Linked DNA regions of Pelodiscus sinensis. The protein of the gene in region 3 interacts with the protein of the main gene of each other region in a pairwise test. Links are inferred from orthologs where the notes say so. Each region holds a gene or a part of one and is shown on either strand. Other genes may lie near its edges.

What was found.
Region 1: the proteins of KASH5 (region 3) and NSG1 interact in binary tests that used the Homo sapiens proteins (3 or more experiments, as listed by UniProt). The two-hybrid records come from large-scale screens. The link is inferred for Pelodiscus sinensis from reciprocal best matches to the Homo sapiens genes KASH5 and NSG1.
Region 2: the proteins of KASH5 (region 3) and STX5 interact in binary tests that used the Homo sapiens proteins (3 or more experiments, as listed by UniProt). The two-hybrid records come from large-scale screens. The link is inferred for Pelodiscus sinensis from reciprocal best matches to the Homo sapiens genes KASH5 and STX5.

Annotation. Positions count from the first base shown.
Region 1 is NC_134715.1:110,540,252-110,547,411, reverse strand, and holds the start of NSG1 (neuronal vesicle trafficking-associated protein 1), read right to left. Parts: upstream 3,004-7,160; 5' UTR 2,623-3,003; intron 2,294-2,622; exon of another isoform or gene 1,992-2,293; intron 1,887-1,991; 5' UTR 1,856-1,886; coding exon 1,727-1,855; intron 1-1,726.
Region 2 is NC_134721.1:36,452,227-36,459,138, forward strand, and holds the start of STX5 (syntaxin-5), read right to left. Parts: upstream 3,004-6,912; 5' UTR 2,792-3,003; intron 2,371-2,791; exon of another isoform or gene 2,015-2,370; intron 1,976-2,014; exon of another isoform or gene 1,515-1,975; intron 1,360-1,514; 5' UTR 1,341-1,359; coding exon 1,149-1,340; intron 1,051-1,148; coding exon 980-1,050; intron 699-979; coding exon 643-698; intron 313-642; coding exon 242-312; intron 44-241; coding exon 1-43. UniProt on the Homo sapiens protein: Mediates endoplasmic reticulum to Golgi transport.
Region 3 is NW_027465974.1:153,144-160,535, reverse strand, and holds the start of KASH5 (protein KASH5), read left to right. Parts: upstream 1-4,375; 5' UTR 4,376-4,939; intron 4,940-5,765; 5' UTR 5,766-5,788; coding exon 5,789-5,933; intron 5,934-7,392. UniProt on the Homo sapiens protein: As a component of the LINC (LInker of Nucleoskeleton and Cytoskeleton) complex, involved in the connection between the nuclear lamina and the cytoskeleton.

The DNA of each region.
Region 1 (7,160 bases), on a different chromosome or scaffold from region 3:
GTAAATAATTGCACAAATGAAGGGAAACACACATAGTTGAGCAGTGGGGAAAAAAAGAAATGCTAAGCAAATGTCTGAGTCTTCTGTTCGACTTTGGGTCCATGTAATTTGCCCTTGGTTCTGCTCACATAACTCCTGTTGTCTGCAGTGGGAGTTCTGCCCAGTACCACTTGACCACATACCAATAAAAGAACAACTTCCAGTAGAAAAACTCAGCACAGTTTTTACTGGCTTAGCCACGGAGACTCCATTTTGGTGAAGCTGCTGCCTGTGGACCACAGGGATTCTTGCTTCAAGGCTCTGCTTAGCAGCTAAGTAATATAACACACATACTCAATAAGTTCAGCCTCTGAATGTACGACCCTGCTAATTGGTTGCCTGGTCACCAGACAGCAAACACAATCAGCCACAGCAACAGTTTTAAAGCCTAAGTGTCCAATTCTGCCATCAGTACAGGAATTACACACATGTAACTCAGAGCAGATATGGATTCTAAGGCTATGGGCTAATCCTATGTAAAGTGTCAGCCAACTGGTGATCACATCCTAGACAGAAGTGTCAATGGTATAAATAGACCATACATAAACATTTTTAGACAGTTTTACAGCTATTCTTTTTTTCCTAGTGTAAGAACATATGAAATATTCAAGACATGCAACCTATATCTACCATATATCTAAGAAAAGAATCAAGCCTTCAAAGATTACAAAGCATAAACTCACCGTGAAATTTGTTACCAAATATATTTAATCATCATTTGCCAGTCTGAATTTGTGGCTCCAGAAAGTATCAACAATGGAAACCATTAAGTTTTTAAGTTATACAAATGGAAGAATATTTGAAAAAAATCTTCGTGAACCAGTCTCATTATGTCACATAAGTGATAAGTGTTATCAGATTATTTGTGCAGGGTCAGAAAAGTGTTTTGAGATGTATTTGTCCTTCATCCTCAGGCTGCACAAATCAGGCTTTGCATAAGCGACTAGTAAACAGCTGTCAGGGAGGCAGAATACAAGCCTCTCCTCCAAGTGGACAAGAAGATATGGGGCAGCAATACAAACTTTCTTTGATCCACATTCCAGTCTGTGGACTGGACCAGCAGATACTAGCCCCAACCCCAAACATTCACACAAGTTCTCTCCGTATTCAAGAATTGTGGAGGGCAGGATAGATTAATTATTAATCTAGTAACTATCCCATCCACGACTTCCCCTGTTGGTTTATCTGGCGCCTGCATGGAGCCCCTTCTGAGATCCACCTGAGGGGTACATAAGATCCCCTGTGTGGCTATTTTGCCTGAACCCGCCCTTTGGAGTCCTAAAGCAATGCTTCCACACTGTAGGATGTCTTACAGCCAACAGACTTGTATTTCACAATGAATTTTCACAGCTGCCTTAAAGATTCTAAAGATGGGGCTACAATATAAAGAGTGACAAGTGATCACAAACAAGCTTGCAAATACCTCATTGTGTCCCACAGTACCAAATAAAGCGAAATTTACTTATACCTGATTTTTTTTTTTTTACAATAAGTGTTTTCATGATGGCATTTAAATGAAAAAAAAAAAAGACTTTAATTGACATGTTCGTGATTATCATTAGTTTAATTTTTTTTTCTGTGAAGAAATAGCCACTCCTTAAAATGCCCTACTATAGAAATTATTCTCCTGTTCTTTGTGAGCAATTTGGGTGTGATTCTCTGTAGTGCAAACTGGAGCCTACTGTACCTTATCAGGAGGTGGGAACTGTAGCTGATTGACGTCCAGGGGTGTGATCAAGGGGATAGTGTCAAATCCATCCTCCAAGAGGGGCTGCTTTGTGCTCTTCTCACTGAAATTATTCCCTAGTTTCACCATCCTTCCTGGATTAAAAAGAAAAAAGGATTTCCTACAAGCACACATACAAAAAAAAGAAAACCATAACGTAGTGCTACTCAAACACATATTATGGCAAAAATATATCCCCCCAAAAAACACACAAATCCTAAAATACATTTTTTCAGGCATCATTTCTTCCGTTGATCTCAAGTGACCTAATTCCACTTTTTAACATCCCTCTCACTTTCGAATGGTCATTAAGAAGGCATCAGCTGTAACTGCATGACAGTTTTGGGGATGGAGGTGTTGTTTTCTAAGCGTGACTAACTACAACGGTGTATTCCTTCATAGCCGAAGGGTGAACTGCATCCTCTCCAGAGCGCTTTCTAGAAGCCCTGAATAACATCCAGCGGAAACGCAACATCTTTCCATATAATGGTATCCATCCATCCCCACAGTCCTCTCCATCCACAAAGGGGATCACTGCACCTCTCCACCTATCTACATCCATAGAGCTTCTCTTCTTCCTCTCCCCCTGCCCCCCGCCGCCGCCGCCACCGCCCCACGTCCATCAATCCATTTCCACAGTCTCCATTGCTGCATCCTTGTGTCCAGCGACACCGCCCCCCTCTGCGCACCGTCCCTGCTCCTCTTGCTCTGAGCGCGCCCGGCTCCAGAGGACGTGGGTGAGAGCGGGGCGCAATGAGAAGCCCTCCACGTCCTTCCCCACCCTGAGCTGCTAGGGGCATGAAGCTCCCACCCCAGCAATAATCGCTGGCGACGGAAAAGCCGCGGCTCGCACCTACCTCAGCTGCTCCTCTGCCGTTCCCTCTGTGCGGGGCTGGTGGGTGGGTGGGTGCAAGGTGGGGGAGGCTCCGAGCCCTCTGTTTCAGCGCTGGGAAATGGCGGCGCGGCTCGGACGCCTCTTCGGAGCGGCTCGGGCGGGAGGTTGGGTGCAGGGGAGCGACGCGATCGATCGGCGCTGGGCTGCCTTGGGGTTAATGGGCTCGTGCGCGTAGCTCGCAGCAGCAGCAGCGCCTCCGCCGTGACGCATCCGCCGCGTGTCTTAGGGCAGATCCGAGCAGCAGCAGCACAAAGGGGCCCCGGGGGGCGGGGGAGGCGCACGCTTGGCTCTCCCTGCGCCGGCTGCAGCAGGTGGGGGGGGGCGAGGCTCCCCCTGCAGAGCGCTACAAGGGGGAGGGGGGCGCAGTGCTACTTGTAAGGCCCGTGGGTAGCTCCCGCTAGGGGAGCGCGGCGCCTTGTTGTCCCCCCGCTTCTAGCAGCCAGGAGGGGAGCGCTGGGCGCTACAATCGGGCTGGGCTGTGAGAGGACAATGACCTCGCTAAGCCCGTGAGGCAGCGGTACAAGCGGGCCGGGGAGCGCGCGGGGGGAAGTGCAAGGTACAAGTGACTAGCGCGGGGGGCGCTGCATGACACAAGAGAGCTGGGAAGGGGATGGGCGTTGCGCGCTACAAGCGGGCTGGGGGCCCGGGGTGGGGCGGGGCGCAGCGCGGTACAGGCGGGCCGAGGGCACTGCGCGGCTCCGAGGCGCGTCGCTTTCGCCGGGCTACGGGCGGCGCTTCAGGTCCTTCCCTACCGGTGGCAGGAGATGCGGTGCAAAGGGCCTGGGTGGGGCCGGAGGCTTTGTTCCTGGGGCGCGAGCTGCTCCTGTCCCCGGGGCAGCGGCGCGCGACGCTCCCCGTAACTAGCCTGCTCCTCCTAGGGGCCGGGGGCATGCTGGGGACTGGGAGCCGCCTTATGGCCGGGGAGATAGGGAGGGTCGCGTTGCCCCTGACTCAGCTGTATACGCCTGTCTGACCCGGCCTCGTACCTGTGAGCCCCGGGCTCCATGCACCCCCCCCCCCCGCAGCTTGGTGGGTGCTGGTGAAAGAGGGATAAAAAACGCTGCAATCCCTAATTGAGGGAAATCTTCACTAAATAACCCGCCGAATGCGCCCTGCCTGTTGGTGCAGCCAATTTATCATTTTAATTGCATTGTTTTCCTGAGCCCTGGTAATTGAGGCCACGATCCGTTATTCAGCTTTTCTGGCGTTTGCTTGCTTTGCTGCTGACAGGCTGCGCATAAAGTATTTCAGCACCTGCACAGCCTCTTCAGTGTCAGAGGCAAGTCAAAAAGCCAGAGGAGACCTTAGGGAAGGGAGACAGCCCAAGGCAATGGTCCACCTAATATTCAAGCTGCCTCATAAGTATGGGTAGGAGACTGAAGATTTTTATGCTTCATCATTTGGACGGTTAATCTTGCCCTAAAGCATTTTCTCTGTCTCCAAATTGTCAAGCAGACCTGCTGTTCAAGTTAGTTTTCTGTTTTGACCTTGCTGCATTTTACTAACTCTTGTATTGAAGTCCAGGGCACTTCAAGGCAGACTCAGATCATGCAGCTTTAAACCCAAGCAAAAAGCCATTTTGGTGGGGGAAATGGTTCAGGTGCACTCCATTAATGTCTTGTAACCCCAGGCAACCAGTGTGCACTGCTTGTAATCCCCTAGGTGCATCGCTTTCTGGGAAGCAAATGTAGGCATCTTGAGGAACACTGAGCTACATGTTATGAAATCATAGAATCATAGAACTGGAAGAGACCTCAGACGGTCATCAAGTCCAGCCCCCTGCTCTAGGCAGGACCAATCCCAACTAAATCAACCCGGCCAGGGCTTTGTCAAGCCGAGACTTAAACACCTCTAGTGATGGAGACTCCACTACTTTCCTAGGTAACCCATTCCAGTGCTTCACTACCCTCCTAGTGAAATAGTTTTTCCTAATATCCAACCTGGACCTCTCCCACCGCGAATGGGGACCATTGCTCCTTGTTCTGCCATCCATCACTACTGTGAACAGCCTCTCTCCATCCTCCTTGGAACCTCCCTTCAGGAAGTTGAAAGCTGTTATCAAATCCCCCCTCACTCTTCTCTTCTGCAGACTAAACAGACCCAGCTCCCTCAGCCTCTCCTCATAAGTCATATGCTCCAGCCCCCTAATCATTTTGGTTGCCCTCCACTGGACCCTCTCCAATGCATAAGAGAGAAGGAGGGTACTCAGCCAAGACCTACTGACAAGAACCAAAATCCACCTAAAATAAAACATTTCTATTATTTGTAAAATATGATCATCCTCTCCTTCCTTGTGGGCTTTGATCTCTTAAACAGAAAAAAAGTAAATCAGAGTTAATCTATTGGAAATGAGATGAGGGGTACTTCACATCTTTTTTTGTATCTTATTGGTTCAAAGATTTTGCAGAAGAAATTAACCACTCTGTTGGTTTACACTCGTCACATGGTGAAGATTGCTAGCATATGGGCTAGAGCAGTGTTCCCCAACATGGTGCCCGTGGGTGCTATGGCACACGGGGGCATTTGTGTGCACCCGCCAAGTTCTCAGGGCTGGCACATACGCGGTGTCAGCCCCAGGCGCACTGCGCATACGCGGTGTCGGCCCCAGGAGCACTGAGCATACACGCATACCACTGGTCTACTGCATGCGGAGCACCGGCCCCAGGCGTGCAGTGAATTGACCGCCTGCGCTCCGGGTGTGTGGTGCATGGGAAGTGCCGCTCCTAGGCGCGCGGCAAATTGGCTGCCCTGGCCCCAGGCACGTGGCAAATTGGCCGCCCCGCCCCCAGGTGCATGGCTATGGGGGGTGCCAGCCCTGGGCGTGTGGCTCTGGAGGGCGCCAGCCCCAGTCTTGCGGTGAATGGGCGGCCCTGCCCGTGGCCACGCAGTGCATGGGGTTGCTGACCCCAGGCACGTGGCTCATGGGAGTGTAGCGTATGCGCGGCCCCACCCCTGAGCCTGTGAGTGTCCCTGCCCTCTGGCTCCTGGTGGGTGAACGGCCCCGCCCCTTGGAGCCCAGCAGCTCCAAATGGTTGGGGACCACTGGTCTACTGCAATTGCTCCCCTCCCCCCGCACCTGAGGAAGGTGGGCTGGTTGGGTGACCTGCCTTTTTCCCAGGTCTGCCAATAGGAGTGTGTACTGCAGAAAATGCATGTGTGGTGTCTGGCATCCAGCTAGAGAGGGCTAAGGCAGCAAGACAGAAGCTGATGCCCCACCAGGAGCCTGGCTTGAAGCTCACTCACCTCTCCTATAACAGTGCACCTCCAATGGGCCCCTTTCGCACATGCTTGCCTCACCTGGGGGCCTACTGTTCATCGCACATGGGGCTGTTAGCCCCAGCCTACAGCCAGGAGCGGGCCGAAGTCGGCTGTGGCAGCTGGCATCCTAGGCGGAAGGAGCGATTGGCACCCCTGCCTGCATGGCTGTCAATGGTCGTGACGTCATCATCGGGTGCCTGTGCCTGCAGTGCCCTAGGCAACTGCCTAGTTTGCCTAGGTCCGCGAGCTGCCCCTGACTACAGCAGGGACCATGTGGAACCCAGAGGGAGCCTAGCTGGAAAAGCACATTACAAGCCATGTTGCATGCCTCTACCTGCAACGGAGTGCCCCAGCTGGCAGTTACTGGAATGGCACCACCTTCTTTTCCCCTCTGCCCAGGAGTAATGCTTCCACTGTGCTGTGGGATTTCAAAAACCTCCTAGAAAGCACTGTCTGATAAAGGCATACATGTGTGCTTTCGTGACACCAATAGTTTGGAACTGAGGTTAATAAAGACCTACTAGCAGATGTACCTGGGATTGCTCAAGTCTTTAACTGAAGTAATTTAAAAAAAATGAAAAATGCACATGCTTATTTCAATTATTGTATTTTTTTTAAATGAAGGCTGGAGTGAGAGTTTGTAAGCTCACAATATCCTATTGTGAAAAATCACCTTTAGAGCAATTTAAAGTGATAATGCAAAGTACACTTTGATTCTTTCTTTTGTTCTCTGAAGGCCAGGATATAATTTTTTATATCATTACTTCCTTTTTTCTCTTTGGCAAATGATTTATTTTCCCTTCTGTTTCTCAAGTAACACAAGCCAAATAGATTTTCCTTCACTGACTCTTGTCATAAGCATTAATGATAACGTCAATGTCATCAGCAGAGTTCTAGGAAATACAGTTCATTAAACTCCTGGCTATTTGGCTGTCTGTTCAGCAAGCTGGCTGGCTGGCTGTTCAGCAAGCTTTGTTTTGCTTGTCAGAGACCATCATTTTCAATGGCTATTCACTTGCTTTTAAAAAGTTTCTTGGTGAAGTAGCAGGAGCCACAGGACACCCCTAAACTAGCATGTTTATGGTAGGTGAAATTTTGGGCTTGTCTGTATTGCTTTTAAACACTGGCCCTACGTCTACACTGGCCCCTTTTCCGAAAGGGGCGTGCTAATTTTCAACTTCAGAATAGGGAAGTCCGCGAGGGAATTAAATATCCCCCGCGGGATTTAAATAAAGATGTCCG
Region 2 (6,912 bases), on a different chromosome or scaffold from region 3:
ACTCCTGCAGCTGGGCAATCTGCTTGTTCAGGCTGTTGATGTCCTGGGGGAGGGAAATTGCTCCAGTCTCAGTTGTGGCCCACACCCCCACCTGGTCCCAGTGGCCCTTAGGCTCCCACCCAGCTGAGGCTGCTGTTCATAGGCTCCAGCTCCTTTTGTTCCTGCCCACCCCATCCCACCTTCCAAATAAAGAGGCCATCTCTCCCAGCCACCAGGAGATGCTAGCCCTGCTCCCACTAACCTGTTTAATGATATATGTCAGCTCCTCTATCTCCACTGCCTTGTCATCAAACAGGGACTTCCGTTTGGCCACTGAGGACAGAGGGGTATGGTCAGGGAGTGTCCTATGAGGCCTGACAGGGATTCCTTTCCTCTACCACAAGTGCCCTGCTTTATCATGGCCCCCAGGGTCAGAACTACTCCCCCATTCAGGCCCAGCATCAATTACCCTCCCTTGTTGCTCCATAGCAGCCACAAAGCCCATCCCAACTGAGTGAGAATCTCCAGTTCACAATGGCTATAAAAAAAGCAAGAAGCCATGTTAACCCCAAGTGCTATCAGCAGCCCCTCCATGAAGGAGCCCATACCCCAGACAGCCCTCACCCTCTCCCTCCCTCCCTCCTCCCCTCCCCGGCCACTCACAGATGGTCAGCTTCTCCAGCTTGGCAAAAGTGTTGCTGAGATCTTTGCCGATGCGCCTGGGAGGAAACAGAACAGGAGACCAGAGTAAGGGTGGGATCTGTGCTTCCTCAGTTGGGGCCTGCTGACTAAATCATCAGTAGAGCACTTCCTCCTTAGCTCAGCTCTGATCCCAAGGAGAAACCCCTCTCAGCCCCAACCCAGGCAAACCAGCCTATAGCCATCCCACAAGATCCCTTCCCGGCACACTGATCCTGAGTCAGCCCAACATACTCCCAGGTTATCCAGCTGCTGAGCTCCCTCCCCAGATCTTGGCTAGTCCAGCCCTCACCCCACTCACTTGGCTATGACAGTGAATTCACTCCTCTGGCGCATGGCATTCAGGGTTGGTTTGTTCGGCTGCAGCCCATTCTGAAAGGAGAGACAGACTGAACTGAGGTGTTCTGGAGCAGAGAATCCCCCACACTAGCAAGGAATGGGCCTGACACCCCCAGGAAATGAAGACTCACCTGTCTGCTCTGCAAGGACTTGCAGGCAGAGAGGAACTCCTGGGTGCGATCGCGGCACGACATGGTGTCCGGAAAGGGCAGGGATGAGGCAACAGTTGTGGTAGCAGATGGGGACAGCTCCTGTGTCTGCGAAGGTCCCAGATAAACGCCCTGATGCGTGTTCTTAGAGCCGTGGCGTTTTCTCGTAGTCATTGAGGCTCATAACCTGGTGCTAGGGGAGGGGAGGCCACGGGTTCAGGGGCTTGGTTAATAGCTAAGGACCAAACTCCACCCTTCACCAGTCCCCATTAACCCTTTCTTCCTCCCTCTCTTCTCAAGCACACTCACTATCACATCACCTGCCCAGTCCCACTCATCTCTCCTCACCACAGCAAAGAGGCCAGGCAGTTCCAAGGCACTCTTGCCTGCCCCATTCAGAAGCAGCTCCTGATGCAAAATCCAAATGGGGGTCAAGGCTCCCAGAGCTCAGAGATATATGTAAAGGCTTCCTCTGCAATTCATCTGCAGTTCAGAGAGGAGTCTGCTTTGTGGTGCCCACTGTGCAAGGGAAGAGCCAGGCATGTCAGCAGGAAGAGACCCCCTGCCCCACTGCAGAAGCCTCCTAGAGGAATCAATCCCACCATGTCCCAGATTTCAGTGAGTTCCAGTCTCCACCAGAGCAGCCTCAACCAAGTCCAGACAAACAAGACTATTTGGTGACAGACATTAGCAGCTCCCAGAGGTGCACAAACTAGCACTGCTAAGGGTACAGCTGCATCCCCCTGCCTTGAAGTGGTTTTCCATCCTAGGAAGGGTTTACAATTTGGTTCAGTGGCTCTCAAGATGCACTCTGTACAAATTGTTCCAATACCCCGGAAGCTCCTTACCCACCAAGCAGGGATCCTGGCTGTTGGAGTCAGTGTCTGAACCAGGTAATTAGGATCAGAGATACACACAAGTGGAGGCAGGACTGGGGGTAAATAACCATGAAGGCACTTAGGTCCCTCTATCCATTCCCTGTAGGGTCCAATTTTTTTGGTGAAGGTCTAAATTTCTTGATCAAGGTATAGTCAAGGTCCACTCTCCAGAGAAACATTTTTCACGCCGCCACCACCACCACAATGATAACAAGACTTTGTGACTTATTTAAAAACATCTGGGGGCGCAGACTTGGCCCACGATCTGCCTATTGAGTTTCTGGTGAGAGCTGCCCCACAACCCCGCTTCTGCGCAGCGCTCAGAGTCGCTAAGCCCACTGAACAGAGGCGGGGAAAGAAGCGCGCGGACGGGGGGGGGGGGGGGGGGCTGACTTGCACTGAAGAGCAAATAACGGCAGGGGGGCAGAGCCCAAGGGAACCTGCCCCCCGCCCGCTTTAAGCCCCGGGCCCAGAGCAGGGAGTGCGGGCAGGAGGCGCAGGGCAAAGGCTGTAAGGACCCGCCGGGGACAGGCCCTGCAAGGGGAGACGGGGCAGGCGACCCAAGCGGGAGAACATGAGGAGCCCGGAGGGGCGCGGGGGGGACTCGCCGCCCCTCCGGGGGCCCAAAGCGGAGGGAGGGAGGGAGGGAGGGAGAGACGCGGGGCCCCGGGGAGGAGAGAGGTCCGGGGACTGCCCAAGCTGGGCCCACCCCTACCGGCGAGACCCCGACTCCGCCCCGCGACTCACCGAGACGCGAATCTAGCTTTGGTCGTTGCAACCTAGACCCCACCGGCCGGGAACTACGTCACTGCCACGTACACCTCGCGTAACACGTCAACGCGCCACGCACATACGTGCCCCGCCCCCTCCCCAGGGGAGCGAGAGTTTAAAGGGGCCGCGATTATCCGCGAACTTTCTGATCCCTGGTGACCTCGGCTCGGCGGCCTGGCCGGGTCACGGGCCCGGGCCAGGCCCCAAACGGCCCATTCGGAGCTGGGCTCCTCAAACACACTCCGCAGGGACTACGGTCCTACCCCCCCAACCCTGCCCCTACAGCCCCCCCTGCCGTGATTCCCAACCCTACAGCAACAGCTACCCCTGCTGTGGGGGCCTTCTCCCTTACAGCCTCCCCCAACATGGGGGCCTGCTCTGCAACCCTGCCCCTTCAGCCCCCCCAACATGGGGGCCTGCCCCCCATCATAAAACCATAGAGCTGGAAGAGACCTCAGAAGGTCATCAAGTCCACCCCCCTGCTCTAGGCAGGACCAATCCCAACTAAATCAACCCGGCCAGGGCTTTGTCAAGCCGAGACTTAAACACCTCTAGAGATGGAGACTCCACTACTTCCCTAGGTAACCCATTCCAGTGCTTCACCACTCTCCTAGTGCCGCTACAGCCCCCCTTCTGTGGGGACCTTCTCCCTTACAGCCTCCCTCAACATGGGGGCCTGCTCCCCAAGCCTGCCCCTATAGGCCCCCAACATGGGGGCCTGGTCCCCAGTACTGTCCAGGGCAGAAGGCCCAGCCCAGACACAGCTGTGAAAGTTATGTTTATTCCCCATCTCTGTTAGTTGCAAGGCAGCTGTCGTGGGGCGGGGGCCCAGCCTTCAGAGGGCTGTTCTCGGGGTCAGACTCGCTGGGCTCCGGCAGCGCAGTGACTGAGGTAGCGCTCTTGGTGCTCCGTATGGAATCACGCCGGTTGCCAAAGATGGAGACGCGTCTCCAAATGATCCGGATCTTGAGGCTGTCCGAGGAACGCACCGCTGGGGCAGAGTCCGCGATCCGCAGCTGCTTGCACCTAGGCCTGCGCTTGCTGTCTGCAAAGGAGGAGTGTAGACTATCAGCATGTTGACCAGACTGCCCAGCCATCCCTCTGCTTGGGATTATTTATACAGATATTATCATGACACTGATTTAACCATTAATTCCTTTATTAAATCCAAAAGCCAAATAATATTTATACAATTGCTCAAAACATACCTACAAGGCCTAAATAATAAGCAATTTGCCACATCTAGACAAAAACAAAACATTCATAAATATTTGATCAAGAAACTTACAAATGATCTAAACCAAGGGGGTACCAGTCAGCTTCAACATGGCCAGACAGTATATTGGCAATGCACAAAACTTTGAGATAACCTTTTAACAAACAAGTGATGTCTGGAAGCCAGGTACAGACTACAGTTAAAACCAATTGGAGACAGGTCATCTTTATTCCCTGGTTTAATCCAGACAATGTTTACAACCTCTTTTCCCTCCTTCCTGCTTATCAACAGTTTTTCCTTTGTGTCCAACCGTGAAAGTAAATTAAAAATGTCTACAGGTACTGTCCTATTGTAACCCAGGTCCCCGCCAGCTCTTTAAATAGCTCCCTGCTAGCTTTTGCTACAGCTCAGCCAGCTCTTGCTAGAGCTATGCACCAGGGTGCATCTGCTTAGTTTCACCTGTTTGCTCCTGGGTTCACACGGGGCTCTTAATTTTTATAACAACATTGGTTGGTGCGGTGGGAAGGGCTATGTTGGCTCATGCTAAAACAGAATCTCTTTGTTTTATTTAAAACTATCTGCCATCACCCCTCCCAGTCAGAGGCCTTCTCTTCAGAAATATCCTTTCATTTCATTAGTTATTCTTTGAACCAGGCATCCGCCCTACTTCATCGCTTCTGGCCCTGTAACTAATTACTTTTGTGGCCTTTCTTTACAACACACATCTTTCTTCAGCTGAATGTAAGCTAACTTTAATTTCCTAATTTTTATTTATTCTACATTCCCCACTTTGAAATCCAACATACTATGTGGGTTTTACTACATTAAAGCATTTCAAACATACTTCTACAATTTTGGAAAATGGTATCCAACTGCCAAACTTTGCAATATAGAATTAACAGAATAATTATCACAATAATGTAATTACCAAACCGTTAAAATAACCACCTTTACTATGGATGTAATTCCACACTATGGCTATGTCTACACTCGCGGCTTCTTGCGCAAGTAATATGCAAATGAGGCTAAGCATGGAATATTGCCGAGCCTCATTTGCATATCTAATGAGCCACCATTTTTTTCAGAAGAGGCTCTTCCGCAAGAAGGAGCCATTACACCTATTACTTTTCAGGAAGAACAGCATTGCGCAAGAGGGTTTTTCTTGCGCAAGAAGGGGCAGTGTAGACGCTCCTTCTTGCGCAAGAGCCTCTTCTGAAAAAAATGGCTCATTAGGTATGCAAATGAGGCTTGGCGATATGCCACGCTTAGCCTCATTTGCATATTACTCGCACAAGAAGCCGCGAGTGTAGACATAGCCTATAAGCTTGCTCTGCCTTTAAAACATGCTTCTGCAATTTTATCTTTGCCTATGTTTCAATTATATTATACAAAACTAGTATAAAATATATAAATCTTTCCATTTATCACCACTGGAAATTCAGGTGTGAAATAGAACATAAGCCAATTCAAATAGCATCCTCTGTGTCCATAGTAGAAATGGCCCTTTCCCGTCACCACACGATACTGGCCATTAGCAACATAGGCACTTTTTACTTCACCAGCTTCCCAGTGTCTCAGCCATACTGAGTGGTTTGGAGACTGCTTCCTCAGAGTGAACCTACAGGCTGGCAGCTGTGACAGTAAGACATTACACCCACCCATGAAAGGTCCTCAGGCGCAAACCCAGATCTTGTCACTACCATGCAACACCATGGCTACATCTACACTGGCAGCTTCTTGCGCAAGAACTGTTTTGCGGAAGAGTTCTTGCGCAAAAAGTCTTCCACAAGAGCGCATCTACACTGGCATGTGCTTTGGCACAAGAGACGTGCTTTTGCGCAAGAGCGTCTATGGCAGTCTATGGCCATATGGTCTTCTGCCATTTTAGCCATAGGGGTTTCTTGCACAAGAAATTCATGTCGCCTGTCTACACTGCCCTCTTGTGCAAGAGCTCTTGCACAAGAGGGCTTATTCCTCGTGGGGAGAAGAATAACTCTTCCGGAAGAAGCCCTGTTTTCTGACGCTGTACTGTAAATTTACTTGCGCAAGAACGTGTGTACTGTGTAGACACCCAGCAAGTTTTTGCACAAGAACAGCTGTTCTTGCGCAAGAAGCCGCCAGTGTAGACGTAGCCATGCATATGTGTCACAGTACTTTCCAGTACTCACACTGGTAACACTTTGGTCAAGGCTTTCTTTTTTCACAAACTTTATGGTATTGTAATCTTGTTCCTTTCTTGCCTTGCACCTATTATAATTGCCTCCCTTGTACCAAATCTTTAACTTTTCTGTGGTGCTAAAAGAGGGCAATCTTCTTTCTTCTGTCATTTAAGGATGCTTTCACTTTATATAGCATGTATTTATAGTATATTATTAGTGTTATTGTTTTTGATCTTTCCTGGTAGCAAATTAATTTTATCATGTGCATGTACAAAAAATGACCACATCATGCCTATGAAACAATTCAATGCTTTTTTGTCAATAAATTCTTTGCTTTGTTAATTTTGAAAATACAATATTCTAGGTACTAACTTGTTGAAAACACTTCCTCATTTAGTGGATGCAATCCTTCTGCTGCTAACTTCTGTTAAAATGCTTGCTCATATTCCCACAGCCACTCTATGTGAGCTTGGTTTCAAAGTGACATACCAATCCCAAATAGTTTAGTTTAGTTTGCCAATTTTATTAGTTCCCTTCAGTTTTGCTGCTGTCCCATCTTGGCGGGTTTAAGCATTTTAAAGTTTAAATTATTGTCTGTAAAGTCCTTTTAATGATCTGTAGCCATTTTTTACCAAATTGCAGTGACAGTGAAATTCAGTAAAATTAGTGCATGAATAAGTTACCCATTATTATACAATATCTTCTTAATAGATTTAGCCCTA
Region 3 (7,392 bases):
CTATTTCAAAATAGTTGTTTTGGGAGTTATTATTTCGAAGTAAGTTATTTTAAAATAATTTCCTAGTGTAGACATGCCCTAAGGTGCTACAGGACTACTCTTTTTTTTTTTTAAGTTACGGACTAACATGGCTACGCCTCAGACTTTTAAATCATAGCTGTTAACGATTGATGGGGTTTGTCCGTCCCTTCTCTCTTTCTCTTTCACCTTGTCCACATCTTCATAGTTTTCCACCAAGATTGGCCAGCCAAATATCCGGACTGTGACCAATTTCCAGCCTCTTTACAGCAAATCAACCTCAACTATTTGATTGAAATTAAGTAATTCACCCATTCCCAGTTTCTATTTGCCAGAAGCTGGGAATGGGTGACAGGGATTGACTGTTCTATTCATTCCCTCTGGGGCACCTGGCACTGGCCACCATCAGAAGACAGGATACTGGGCTAGATGGACCTTTGGTTTGACCCAGTTGGGCCATTCTTTGGGTCTTAGTCACACATCAGATTCGTATTATCCCTGTGTATTGTCTTCAAAGTTCATGCAATAATTGTAGTTTTATTTCTTCAGAAGGCTGGAATCCTGTTTTGTACAGCAATCTATATAAAATCCTGGGCTGCTTTAATTAATCCTCACAATATCCTATTGGCTCTAGCTCTGTTTGGGGCTATATTAATGTTTTTCTTATTGTCAGTGACAGCACTACTGTAATGTGACGTTTGTGCATGAGATCAGATTGTGCGTGTACATGTCAGAGAGGGAATGCTTGTGAGAGAGAACAAACTCAGGCACCTGGTGCTCCTATCATGTTGTAGCTCTGTAGGCAAAGCTGTATTTCTGGAGTTTTGGTTTCATTATGTGTGCACTTGTGGTTTGGTTCATTATGCTGACACTTCTGCCTGCCACTTGCTGCTCAGATCCACAGGCTACAAAAAGAGTGTGTGAGGATGGAGGGAGCAAAATGGTGCATAAAACTGATGCTTGTGGCACTTTTTGCAAGAGTAACTCTAGGCTGCTGGTGCAATTTGGAACCAGTTCCATTCATCCTATTATAAGTTCTGTCGTCATTGCTAAAGCATCAGAAGTGGGTTTGTTACTCTCCCCTTCCTGTGCTAAACCACTGCGTACTGCAATGATTATTATCCATCTCACAATTTGCTTTAGATCAGAGTAGTGACCCCACTCTATGGTTGCTGGATGCAGTTCTCAAACCAGAGGACCGAGTTGCTCATCCCTCAAAAACTATTTGGGGCTGTTCCTCTGTCACCTGTTTGAAATCCTCACACACACTTAGAATCATAGAATCATAGAACTGGAAGAGACCTCAGAAGGTCATCAAGTCCAGCCCCCTGCTCTAAGCAGGACCAATTCCAACTAAATCAACCCGGCCAGGGCTTTGTCAAGCTGAGACTTAAATACCTCTAGGGATGGAGACTCCACTACTTCCCTAGGTAACCCATTCCAGTGCTTCACCACCCTCCTAATGAAATAGTTTTTCCTAATATGCAGCCTGGACCTCTCCCACCACAACTTGAGACCATTGCTCCTTGTTCTGCCATCTGTCACTACTGAGAACAGCCTCTCTTCATCCTCTTTGGAACCTCCCTTCAGGAAGTTGAAGGCTGCTATCAAATCCCCCCTCACTCTTCGCTTCTGCAGACTAAACAGACCCAAGTCCCTCAGCCTCTCCTCATAAGTCATATGCTCCAGCCCCCTAATCATTTTGGTCGCCCTCCGCTGGACCCTCTCCAATGCGTCCACATCCTTTTTGTAGTGGGGGGCCCAGAACTGGACACAATACTCCAGATGCGGCCTCACCAAAGCCGAATAAAGGGGAATGATGACATCTCTGGGTCTGCTGGCAATGCTCCTCTTAATGCAACCTAATATGCCATTAGCCTTCTTGGCTACAAGGGCACACTGTTGGCTCATATCTAGCTTCTCATCCACTGTAACCCCCAGGTCCTTTTCTGCAGAACTACTACTTAACCGGTTGGTCCCCAGCTTGTAACTATGCTTGGGATTCTTCCGTCCCAAGTGCAGGACTCTACACTTGTCCTTGTTGAACCTCATCAGATTTCTTGTGGCCCAATCCTCCAATTTGTCTAAGTCATTCTGTACCCTATCTCTGCCCTTAAGCGTATCTACCTCTCCCCCCAGCTTAGTGTCATCCGCAAACTTGCTGAGGGTGCAATCCATCCCCTCATCTAGATCATTAATAAAGATATTGAACAAAACCGGTCCTAGAACCGAACCTTGGGGCACTCCGCTAGAAACCGACCGCCATCCTGACGTTGAGCCATTGATCACTACCCGCTGGGCCTGGCCTTCTAACCATCTTTCTATCCATCTTACCGTCCATTTATCCAATCCACAATCCCTTAACTTGCTGGCAAGAATATTGTGGGAGACCGTATCAAAAGCCTTGCTAAAGTCAAGGTATATAACATCCACTGACTTCCCCATGTCCACCGAGCCAGTGGAAGAGTCTCTACAGGTGTGAAATGTATCTGTGAAGAGACAGCAGTGGTTCACGCCTATCTTGTTTGTGCAAGTACAAAGGTCTTGGATGGTTACACATCTCCCATGCCCATGACATGCCTTGGCATCGCATGCTGTCTGTTCTTCCAGGGCTAGGCTGAGAACACAGAGCAATCCCCTCCATGTGGACGAGCTAGGTCCCACAGCCTTTCAGTCACCACTTTACAGTCGCTTTCCATTGAGGTGTGCCCCTGGGAGGTGTAGAAACAGGTGTGACCTCCTGGGGCACAAAGTTATCCATTTTCAGGGGTTATTTGCGGGGGACAGAGGGCATGATTGGACTAGATCATACTAGATCATACCACTTTTTTGGTGGGTGGGGTGGGGAGAATTAATTTTCCAGGGGAAAGCCTTGTGTCACAACAGCACCCCCAGCCTTGCTATTCTTGGCCCACATGGAAAGTTTATTCAGATATGTAGGAGAATTAATCAGGTTTTATTCTATGGGGGGACTTTCATGGCTGGGAGGGACTGCCTGCAGGGTTAAAGGTCATGATGCCACAGCAAACCCATGTTGTACACCCTATGGGCCAAAGTAGAGCACACTGATTTCAATTTTGTGGGGGGGAATTAATCCCCTTTAATTTGGGGAAACCCCTCACTCCGGGATATCCCTGGGCCACAGGTCCCAGTGGCATGGCAGCTCCTTGCCCCACACATCCATTGCCCCCGTAAGCACCCAAACCTCTCTGCCTGCCTCATTCACTTCATGTGCATTTGGGGAATTAATCTACCTAATTTGGGGGGAGACCCTAATTTAAGAAGAGGCCATTCAGGGGATGTGAAGGGTCATTTTGTTGTTGTGACCTCTGATATATCCCTAAATTGCCATTATGATTTCCAACCCGGCAGGTACCCTCAAGCCCTCAAAGGAGACCCCCCCTCCCACAATATGGCTGAAATAAGCATCTTTGGCTACGTCTAGACTGCAAGCCTCTTTCGAAAAAGAGCATCTAGATTACAACCAGTACTTTCGATAAAGCAAGCCGCTTTTTCAAAAGAGAGCACCCAGGCTGTCCGGATGCTCTCTTTCAAGAAAGCACAGTTTGCATTATATAGCACCTGTTTTCAAAAGAGCACTTTTGAAAAAAGGCGATATTCCTCGTAAAACGAGGTTTTCCGCAGTCGAAAAAACTGCTGCATTCTTTTGATTTACTTCCGAAAGAACGCAGCAACACTCTAGACGCAGGGGAAGTTTTTTTTCGAAAAAAGGCCACTTTAAAAAAAAAAAAAAACCAACAAACAAACAAAAAACCCTTGTATTCTAGACACACCCAAAAGGGCCTAGCAAATAGATCCTCCCACATGCGGAGGTTGGATATGTCATTTTGACATTCGGTGCCTCAGTTTCCCCATCTCATGATGCTGGTTGGTGGGAACATGCTAAGAGGGCCCTGGGCACTAGCCTTCAGCCTGAGCATGTTTAGGGGTCCCCCTCTCATGTTTGCAGCCCCCCTTGCCATGCAGTGTTTGTTTCATTGGGGGTGTCACTTTTTTGGGGGGGTTGCCCACGTTGGGGGGGGTGCCCTACCCATGGGGCAGCCTCTCCCCCCCCCTCCTCTACTTAATAACTGTAGAGGGTGATTAGCCTGGTTAATTTGGGGGAATCCCCGCTCCCCCCTCCCCCTCCGTCTATGAAGTCACTGGTGCCATTGACCCGCCCCTCCCCCCGCCGCGCGCGCACAGAAGGGGCTCAAGCCGCGACCGTTGCTGCCGCCCCCAACCGCCGCCCGGCCCCAAGTTTGAATTTTCCCGCCTTTTCAGGGGCCGGGCGGCATCGTTCTGAGGCTCGCGCCAGCCCCTCCCGCCCCTCCCCCCGGGCAGCCCCCAGCGAGCGGGCTGCCCCGGGCGGGGGGAGGAGGTGCCCCGCCCCCCCATGCGAGGAGGGAATTAATGTTGGGGGGCACGCCCCCCCTCAGCGCCCTGCCCCCACACTCACGCCAGTGCCCCACACACCCACTGTCCTTGCCAGCCCCCAAGTCCCCCCATTTTGCCCCCCAGCACTCACACCAGCCCCAGAGAGCCCCGCAGCCCCTTAAGCTCCCAACCCCAAATCCCCCTTCCCCCATACTCATGCCAGCCCCACAGCCCCAACCCCCCCCCTCACCTCCCAACACTCACCCAGAGAGCCCCACGGACCTATTGCCCCCAGAAGTCCCCCAACCACCCCAAATCCCCTCTGGTCCCCCCACATTCATGCCAGCCCCAAAGACCCACTGCCCCTGAAAGCCACTGAACCCCAAATCCCCCCTTGTCCCTGAGCACTCACACCAGCCCCAGAAAGCCCCAAAGACCTGCTCCCCCCCCTGTAAGCTCCAACCCCAAATCTCCCCTGCCCACCACACTCACACCAGCTCCAGAGAGCCCCACAGACCCACTGCCCCCATAAACCACAAAAAAGGTTGGTATCATTAGCCCCTGATGGGGAAACTGAGGCACACAGTGAGGCAGGGACTTGCTCAAGGTCACCAAGCAAGCCAATGGCTGAGTCAGAATAAAACCCATTGATGCTAAGCAAATATGCTCTTCTCCCTAAATACACTCATGTCGGCCAGACATCCCAGGTAATGCCCACAGGTCACCTGGCCCATTGGCTCATCATATCCCATTTCACCCCATTTTTACAGACTTGTGGGGGCTGCCCTGAGCCTGGTACAACTGTCCCCGCTTCTTTCAGCACCACTCCCACACACCCCTCTCAGATAGGCTGTCTACCCTAAATCCATCCCCTCGGGTAGAGAGGGCAGCACCAGCTGACCCCGCAAATAAGCTTTTAATGGGCATGGGGGGGGTGTCTTGACCCCCACATTGCCCTCTGCTCCATGGATGCCCAAGTTGATTAGACAAGACAGATTCCAGTCTAAGCAGGGGAGGGGTTCCCGAGACCTCTTCCAAAAGCGAACAGTTCGGGGCCGAGTGCTGATGGCACTGGGCCAAAGCCAGCTCCTAGAATGATACATGTGGGGGAATCTAAGGGTCTGGCTGTCCTGGTGTAACTACACCAATACAGCTACCCCTGTAGAGTGAGTCCCTCCCTACCCGCTCTAGCCTTTATTCTTGTCTAGTGGAATACGATCGATCAATCAATTTGCTGCAGTTTAATCAGGTGTCCCTTGATTAGTGCTTATGAGGACAGCATTGGGAAGGCTGGTCCCTATGCTACCCCCAGCAGAGAGCTTCCTTTGGGAAGGAGGACAGTGAGCATCATACTGTCTGTTTTATTGCAGGGCTAGCGAATGTGGCAGGAGACATGCTGTCCTCACAGGAGGCCGCTTCCCCCTGGATCTCTGATGAAGCCAGCTTCTGTGGAGATACAGATCAGCCAGCGAACATGCAGACCCTGTCTCACAACCCTGCAGCAGCTGTACAATTGCATATGGTCCAGTCATCAGAGGGTATGTAGCACCAGTTTGGGGTCTGTCTGTCTACTAGGGATGTAAAATCCCATTTAATTGGCTAATCGGTTACACACTATTTAACTGGTTAACCAATTTAAGGGGGGGGCAAGCAAGGTGGGAGCAGCCTCCCCCTTGCTGCAAGCAGAGGCTGCTTCAGCCTGGACAGAGAAGCCCCTGCCTGCATCCCCCCTGCCACAGGCAGAAGCTGCACTAGCTGGGTTGGAGCAGTCTCAGCCAGAGCAGCCCCTGCCTGCAAGGCACCTGGGGGCCTGCCGTGGGGCTGGAGCAGCCCCCTGCCCATAGCAGGTGGGAAGCTGCTCCAGTCCCTACTGGTTAACCCGATAAACTTTTACATGCCTATTATCTACTATATCCCCCCTCCCTTACTGTAGTAGCTAAGCACCATTTGTAATGCTACCTCTATGAGGTAAGTGCTTTGCTGAATAGCTAGCTACATTTCTAAGCCACATGGTTGCAAGTGAAAACACAATCCAAGGGTAAACTGAGCAGCGTGGTCTGCCTAAATCTGCAGTACTAGCTCTGGAGATGAGATCCACGCCATTCCTCCAAATGGCTCTGAATCCTACGGACAACAAATTCACCATCCGTACTTCAGGGGGTGGCCGAGTTAGTCTGTTACAGAAAAAAACAACAAATGGTCTGGTAGCACTTTATAGACTAACAAAACATGTAGATGGTATTCAGGGTGTTCAGAATGCCTAGCCTAGTACTCTGCCTGCTAGACCATGCTGCCTCCCAGGTTAGGCTCTGATTCTGCAGTCAGATCAGTAGAGGAGCCCCAATGGTGCAGACTGGATTTCAGGATTGGGGCCTTTCTGTGAGAGCTTAAGTGTGAAGAAGAAAAGCAAGAAGCACATTTGCTATGTAGCCCATTCACCCACAGCTTCAGGGTGTGGTGTATTGTCCCATCTAGTGGCATCTAGTTGGCTCTGCAGCCTTAGCTAGCAGTCTTAGCTACCACATAGGCTTTTAGCTTATGTGGTAGATGGCTATAATACCTAGAGGCTACGTCTAGACTGGCATGATTTTCCGCAAATGCTTTTAACGGAAAAGTTTTTTCGTTAAAAGCATTTGCGGAAAAGAGCGTCTAGATTGGCACGGACGCTTTTTCGCAAAAGCTTTTTGTGGAAAAGAGTCCGTACCAATCTAGACGCGGTTTTGCGCAAGAAAGCCCCGATGGCCATTTTCGCCATTGGGGCTTTTTTGCGCAAAACAATACCGCGTTGTCTTCACTGGCCCTCTTGCGCAAAAGCATTTGCGCAAGAGGGCTTTTGCCCAAACGGGAGCAGCATAGCATTTCCGCAAGAACACTGACAATCTTACATGAGATCGTCAGTGTTCTTGCAGAAATTCAAGCAGCCAGTGTAGACAGCTGGCAAGCTTTTCCGCAAAAGCAGTTGCTTTTGTGGAAAAACTTGCCAGTCTAGATGCAGCT